2 linked regions of the Macaca mulatta genome follow. The protein of the gene in region 2 interacts with the protein of the main gene of each other region in a biochemical or structural test. Links are inferred from orthologs where the notes say so. Each region holds a gene or a part of one and is shown on either strand. Other genes may lie near its edges.

Region 1 (3,743 bases), on a different chromosome or scaffold from region 2:
AAGAAGTCATCCTAAACAAAGGGAACGAGATGGGCTGGTTATTTTAAAACACAAATATTTAATTGAACAACTATTGTGTTACAGGCACTGGGCCAGGCCTTTTGCACAGATATTTCGCAGCAGCCCCACGGAGTGGCAATCAGCCTCTAGAACAGTGTTCCTCAAACTTTAATAAGGTAACTCAACTCCTCTTAAGGGATAAAACTTCTCTGAACTTCCAAGATTATGTTCTAGAATCCCCATTTGAAAAGCACCATTCTAGATAATTCTGCCAGGTGATTTTGGTCAAGTCCTTGTCCCCAGAAAATTAGAACTAAGCAGAAAAATGACCAGAATGGGGCCCAGTGACCCCATGATCTCAAAGCTAGTGGCAGATGGAGTTAGGGGGTCTAGCAGGGAGGGAGTGGTGGGAGAGGTGTCAACCAGGGGAAGCGCTTGCACCTTGAGCTCTGGAAGGCTGAGAATCTGCTCGAAGGGCACTTGTGCCAGAAGTGACTGCTCCACGCTCCGCTGCTCCTGGGGAAGCAGCTCACAAAACCGCCTGTGGGCTCTGGTAGAGAGAGGGGAACTGTCGGTGTTCTCAGCGATTGGTTTCCCTGTGTGTTCATTCCCACTCCTTGCCTGCTGCTCATTATCAACCAGGTGAGGAGCTAAAACCACATGCACAGAACTTCCGAGTCATCAGGCAACAGTAAGCAAAAGGACATGTCACAAGGCAGTACAGCCTAGGAGTCTTTTCTTGCAATAAGTATTTACTGAGCATCTACTATGTGCTGGGCACTGATTCTAGAGATCCCTGAGGGATGAAGAGTTGGGGAAAAGGCCAGAAGTTGGCCCTAAAGAACTGGCCATGCATGGTGGCTCACACCTGTAACCCCAGCACTTTGGGAGTCCAAGGCGGTGGGAGCATTTGAGGTCAGGAGTCTGAGACCAGTCTGAGCAACATGGTGAAACCCCTTTTCTACTAAAAATACAAAAATTAGCTGGGCATGGTGGCAGTTGCCTGTAATCCCAGCTACTCAGGAGGCTGAGGCAGGAGAATCACTTGAACAAAGAGGCAGAGGCTGCAGTGAGCCGAGATCGTGCCCCAGCACTCCAGCCTGGGTGACAGAGCGAGACTCTGTCTCAAAAAAGAGAGAGAGAGAAAAAAAAAAAACAAAAACAGGGAGAAAAGAGCACAACCAAAAATCTCATTCTCACCATCACTCCAGGGATCTCTTGCCCTCAAAGCCTCCTTTTTAGCAGCCACCCTGAACTGTCCTCCTCCTCGGCCTCCGCCTCCTTCCCATTGCCGCAGGAAGCCCAGGCACCTCCTCACTCAAAGTGCCCTGGCCTGCATAAAATCTGGCAAAAGGGCTTCCAGCCCAAGTTCAAATCCATTTACTCAAGAGTGTTGTCTTAAGCAGTTACCAAACCTTTCTGAACCTGTTTCATTGTCCAATACCTCTCTCCTAAAGATTAAATTAGGTAATGCAGGCAACAATGTAGCACAGTCCCTGGCACATGGTGAGTGCTCAGAAAGCGATAACGGTTACTGTATTATTCAGGTAAAGTTGGGAGAAAGAGCCAGGCTCCCCAAGGCTTCTGTGGTTTAGCCACCGGGCAAGGTCGGCCCCTGCCGGACTGGGGCAGGAAGTTCGGCAGTGCTGAAGCTAGTGGAGCTCAGGGTCAGAGAGCCTAACTTTTCCTGGAGGCTGTGAGGTGGCTCCGCGGTGCCACGCTGGGGCCTCAGGCGAGGGCGGGGAGGGCGTGCCGGGAGAAGGGCGCAGCCCGGGCTGGGTCTCCTGGCCTCCAGCTCCCGGTCCTCTGCAGACCTCAGGCCAGCCCCCGCCCCTCCCTTGGGACGGCGCCCCCGAAGCTGTCTCTAGAGGATCCCGGGGTCGGAGGCAGCACTTACAAGAGGATCTCCTGCTTCGTCAGGAACGTCAAGTCCTGGAAGGCAAAGCGAGAGCTGGCATTAGCGGACCGCTGGGAGGCCGCGGCCGCCCCGCAGCCCGCTCCGGACCCGGCTCCGGGGAACAGGCCGGCACACGAGCTCCCTAGGGCCAGGCGTCCCGCGCACCTGGTACTCGGCCAGCAGCTCCTTGGACAGGCGACTGCCCGAGCCCCCCATCTCCCCGCCGCGCGCACAGCTCCGCCAACTCGCCTAGAGACGCAGACAACTTTCTCACTTCCGCCCTTGGGCCGCGTCACTGCCCGGTCCCCGCGGCAACCGCTCCTGGGGCCACCACCCCCGGGCCCGCCCCGTCCTAAAAGCGCCCAGGCGTTCCCAGCCGGGTTTGGCAGGCGAGCCGCCGGCTGCGACCGGTCCCTGGCGAGCGGGAGGCGGGGCCCTGGGAGGGGCCCGACGCTCCGGGGCGGAGCCCAGGACTCACGGCCCCGCCTCCGGGGTGGGCGGGGGCGGGCCACGCCGCGCGCGTGCGTGCTGGCTGCGTATGCGTCACGGGAGTCGTGACCTCGCTGTGGCCCCGGCAGCGGCTGCAGGGTAAGTCGCGAGGTCCATCCGCTTCGGCTGCAGTAGGTGGTGGCGGCGGCTGCCCTGGGTGCGGTCCCGTAGGAGCGTCTGAGAAGTCACTGGAGCTAGCGTTTCCGGGAAACCTGGAGACTCGCTGAGTGGCCGAGGTCGTCGCCTGCCCCTCTGCCCAGCAAGGGCTTTTCTAGATGTTATCATCAGGCAATCGCTGCACCTGTCGCAGCCCCCAAGCCACCTCTTCCAGAAGTAACCATAACCTTGCTTCATTCTTAGGCTATTTACTGAGGACCCACTGGATGTGAAGCACTGTGCATAGTTTTCTTCGATTGTTGCAACATCCCTTGCAAGGTAGGTTCCCATTTTACAAAGATGGAAATACGTAAGTCCAAAGGGTTTTAGTGATTTTTCCGGGCTCAGGCATTTAGAAGGTGATCGGTCCAGTCCAAGGCACCTTTAAAGGCGCTCCACTGGTCTTGTCTTCATTCCAGCTGACCTGCTGTCCTTTTGACCCCATCTCACCCCTAGGCTGCTGACCCGTTTGCTCTTGTCCCCTCTTAACCTCTAGAACAATGTTTGGCACATAGTAGGCTTTCAGTAAATATTATCGAATGCATAATAAATGAATGAACGTATACTACTGCAAAAGGTAAGGATTCCAAACTGCTGGGAGGAGGAAGTGGAGGTTGTTGGTCAGGCTGGGATTAATTCTTGATCCTTCCAATCCATTATACTTGCTGATCTTTGTAAAGTCGAAATCTGAGCATGTTAATCTCAGTTTATAATCATTAAATGGTTAAAAACCCAAATCCTGGCCCTCTGTAACTGGACTTGCTCCTATTGGCTCTCTGTGTTTCAGCCACGTTGGGCCCTCAGTCCCTCTTCCATCTTATCCTCAGGGAAGCCTTTCCTGACTCCCTAGACTGCCTAGGATTCTACTTTACACTTGAAGAATACCCATTGCTTCTCCTTGGCAGCATGTGTTTAATAAGACCCACTGTATTAATATGTACATTCCATCACTGTAGAAATATTCAAGGCCAGGCGTGGTGGCTCATGCCTGTAATCTCAGCACTTTGGGAGGCTGAAGCAGGCGGATCACTTGAGGCCAGGAGTTCAAGACCAGCATGGCCAACATGGCAATACCCCGTCTCTACTAAAAATACAAAAATTAACCAGGCGTGGTAGAACCTGGGAGCTGGAGGCTGCAGTGAGTAGAGATTGTGCCACTGCAGTCCAGCCTGGGCAACAGAGTGAGACTCTCTCAAAAAAA
Region 2 (3,643 bases):
CCTAAAGGAACCCGGGTGGATGTGATGGAAGCTGGTGTGCTTCCTCGGTGTTGAATTCACACGTGCGTCATGCAGGGCAGTGGCCCTCCTGCCTGCTGAGCCCCGAGGCCTCTGGACATGGCCGCTGGACAGAGTCCGCAGTCCTCGGGCTGTGCAACCCCTCCTGTGTGGCTTCACACCAAGGAGGGGCTGCAACCTTGTCTGGTTCCTCAAGACAGAGCAGTCATGATATCCAGAGCACCAGGAATATTAATACTGAACACGTTAAAAGCAAATCGTCCCCCACCCAAGACCCCTGGGAAAGAGGAGGCCTCACCCGTCCCGCCGCATCCCTGCAAACAGCTTGTTCTCCATGTCGCCATAGCACAGGCTGCAGAGCAGCGTGGACAGGATGGAGCCCTGCGGGATCCCCTGGCACTGGACGTAGGACCTGGGGCGGGAAGACGCAGGTAAGCGATGGGTGGGGCATGTGTGGACATGTGTACACTCACACAGAACCACACACAGACCCTCATACACATCACCTCCACACACAACAACACGTCTACCATTCAGCCGGCAAACACCTCACAAACACACCAGACGAGACCTCTGAACACAATCCCCGCGCCCACTCTCACTGCGAACTGGGGCGGCTTAGCGCAGATCCAGCCACAGCTGTGACCACATCCTTGTTCTCAACCATCAAGGCTTTCTTTCATTAAGGTTTCTTAAATCTTCGAGTTTATTCACAGAACCAGACACTTGACCCAGAAGGAATGCTTAACTGGACTCCTTTCTTTTCAAGGAATTTATCCACGGTGAAAGTTCACAGCCCTACATGTAGCAGCTGTGTGCCAACCCATACAGCCTTGCCCCTGGTTTCACCACAACCAACGAGACGCAGACACTCTCCAAACAAACAAGGACGCCAAGGGTGCGTTTTCAGACAAACAGTGAGAGCAGAATAGCCCCTTGGAACCTGAAGGTGCACATAGAAGGCATGGCTGCCACGTGACCCTCGGCCATCCCCAGAGCCCATAGGATGCCCACTCCTGTTGCTAAGAGACACTTGCAGCCTATTGCAAAAACAAGACCTGTTATTTTCGGGAAGTGCTGTAGGCGGTCACCTTAAAAAGAAGCTTTCCGGCCAGGCGTGGTGGCTCACGCCTGTAATCCCAGCACTTTGGGAGGCCAAGGTGGGTGGATCACCTGAGGTCAGGAGTTTGAGCTATCCCAGGCCACCTGCCCCATGGCCAGCACAGAGCCCCCGAGAGGAGCAAACTACACGGTCAACCCCCCACTTTCCAGATGGGAAATCTAGCCACAGAGAGAAGAGCCCGTGCCCTTGCGGGAGTCACGCGACAGGGACGGGAATGAGAATCAGATAAAATCCTCTTGTATATGGAGAGAGAGATACAGCGTGTGACAGCGGGGTGTCCAGCGTCAGTAGTAACTTGGAGCTGACAAGCTGCAGGCTCAAACGCTCAGCCGCACCCCCAACCCAGACACACCCCACACCCCTCGTCCTCCGCACAGGAGCAAGTCCACGCCCCGCTTGCCATTTCCAGGCCTCACGTAGCATCTGCTCTGCTCCAGCAGCTGCAAGCTGGGCCATGTTCCCGGGGCCTTGGGCACCTGCAGCCCAGGAGCCGGAGGGGTGGGGGGCCAGAAAAGGAGACCCTGGTGGCCCCGGGAGAAGGGCAGTGGGGAAGGGGCAGGGCAGAGGTGAGCAGAAGCCCTGCCAGTCCGCCCACCCACCCGCTGGGCAATGGCACCCGGCCACCCGACTCACTTGCCCCCGATGCGCACGGCGTGGTGGCACACGAAGCGTAGGAAGACGTCAAAGAGGCCACTGCTGGTCTCGTTCAGGGAGGAACTCTGGGAAAGCAGAAGACAGACACACGAGAGTGAGCCGGTGGGTACCGAGATAGGCAGGACCACGTGGCCAAGACCCTCCATCCCTTCTGGGGTCGGTGTTCGTGATGAAGTGTGGGCTGGGCTGGAATGCAGGGCCATCGTGGGCTGGCCGGGCCGAGTCTGCAGACACACAGGGGCTTAGGCAGAGTGTGTGACACAGAACATCCCCTCTGAGCCACCTGTGTGTCCAGCTGGGCTCAGACCCACACAGCCCACCGTGGCCCAGATGGCACACGTGATCCATAAGTTGCTGCCCGGCTGCCGGGCACTGGGTCTGGGTCCCAGGAGCCCACGCCACCCCCACCCCCACTCTGGGAGCCAAGGAAGTTTGCCCAGAGGTCTCTCAGCCTCACTCAGTGGACACGACTGTCCCTTAAAGTGGAACAAGCGTTAAACGGGCATCTGCAAAGAGCCACAGGGTCACGTGAACAGACCCAGCACTGAGGGGCCAGCTCAGCGGAACGCGGCTCAAACACGGCCTGTCCTTCTAAGAAGGGGCACACATTTCCCTTGGCCTCGCACCCAGCACTGAGGGGCCAGCTCGGTGGGATGCGGCTCAAACACGGCCTGCCCTCCTAAAGGAGGGGGACACCTTTCCTTTGGCCTCAAGATCAAAATTGCCAGAGAAGACGTTTAGCAAATCATGAATAAAGTCACTGCGGGGCTGGAGAGAGGCCAAGTGGTCAAACGTGAGCAGGTGCCTGAATGCAGCAGCTGTCACAGCCCGGCCCAGCTTAGATTCCGCCAAGGCACACAGCTCCTCATGCCCCCACCACAGCTCATTCCCCCGACCGCCCCCCAGGGCCAACAGTCTGCCTGGTGATGAGCCCAGTGATGCCCCAGGTGAGGACCCACTGCTGGGGTCCATGCCCAACCCTGGGGGCAGTGCTCAGACCTGCTCAATGACGACGGCATCTCTCAGCGGGCTGGTCTCCTGCAGGTGAGCCACGAACTGTCGCATGTACGGCTGGAGGTCCGTCAAGGTAGAGACCTGCCGGCAGAGGAGAGGGCATGAGCCACAAATGTGGCCCACCCTGGCCAGAGCTGGGCACTTGTTTCTTCCAACCAGGACACGTGGACCTGAAGCCAAGCCCGATGGCAGGAGGAAGCCCAGGGAGCCCCCGGGGAGCTTGGGAAAGGGGAGCTGAGGGGCCGGGGACACAAAGCAGCTACAGACACACCTGGGACTCCACCTGCAGCCACCACACATCAGACCCCCGTGACCGACCGCCATCCACAATCACCACATGTCAGACCCCCACGACCGTCCCACGACCGTCCGCCACCCACAGTCACCACACATCAGACCCCACAACCAACCGCCATCCACAGTCACCACACATCAGACCCCATGACTGACCACCATCCACAGTCACCACACATCAGAACCCCGTGACCGACCGCCATCCACAGTCACCACACATCAGACCCCACAACCGACTGCCATCCACAGTCACCACACATCAGACCCCCACAACCGTCCCACGACCGTCCACCACCTAGTCACCACACATCAGACCCCACAACCGACTGCCATCCACAGTCACCACATGTCAGACCCCATGACCGACCGCCATCCACAGTCACCACACATCAGACCCCACGACCGACCGCCATCCACAGTCACCACACATCAGACCCCACGACCGACCGCCATCCACAGTCACCACACATCAGACCCCACGACCGACCGCCATCCACAGTCACCACACATCAGACCCCACGACCGACCGCCATCCACAGT

What was found. The genes of interacting proteins can lie anywhere in the genome.
Region 1: the proteins of TERT (region 2) and CIB1 form a complex in vitro, tested with the Homo sapiens proteins (2 studies listed by BioGRID). The link is inferred for Macaca mulatta from reciprocal best matches to the Homo sapiens genes TERT and CIB1.

Annotation. Positions count from the first base shown.
Region 1 is NC_133412.1:80,060,860-80,064,602, forward strand, and holds the start of CIB1 (calcium and integrin-binding protein 1), read right to left. Parts: upstream 2,167-3,743; 5' UTR 2,114-2,166; coding exon 2,063-2,113; intron 1,933-2,062; coding exon 1,898-1,932; intron 671-1,897; coding exon 442-670; intron 1-441. UniProt on the Homo sapiens protein: Calcium-binding protein that plays a role in the regulation of numerous cellular processes, such as cell differentiation, cell division, cell proliferation, cell migration, thrombosis, angiogenesis, cardiac hypertrophy and apoptosis.
Region 2 is NC_133411.1:2,391,963-2,395,605, forward strand, and holds part of TERT (telomerase reverse transcriptase), read right to left. Parts: intron 2,891-3,643; coding exon 2,795-2,890; intron 1,861-2,794; coding exon 1,775-1,860; intron 431-1,774; coding exon 317-430; intron 1-316. UniProt on the Homo sapiens protein: Telomerase is a ribonucleoprotein enzyme essential for the replication of chromosome termini in most eukaryotes. Active in progenitor and cancer cells. Inactive, or very low activity, in normal somatic cells.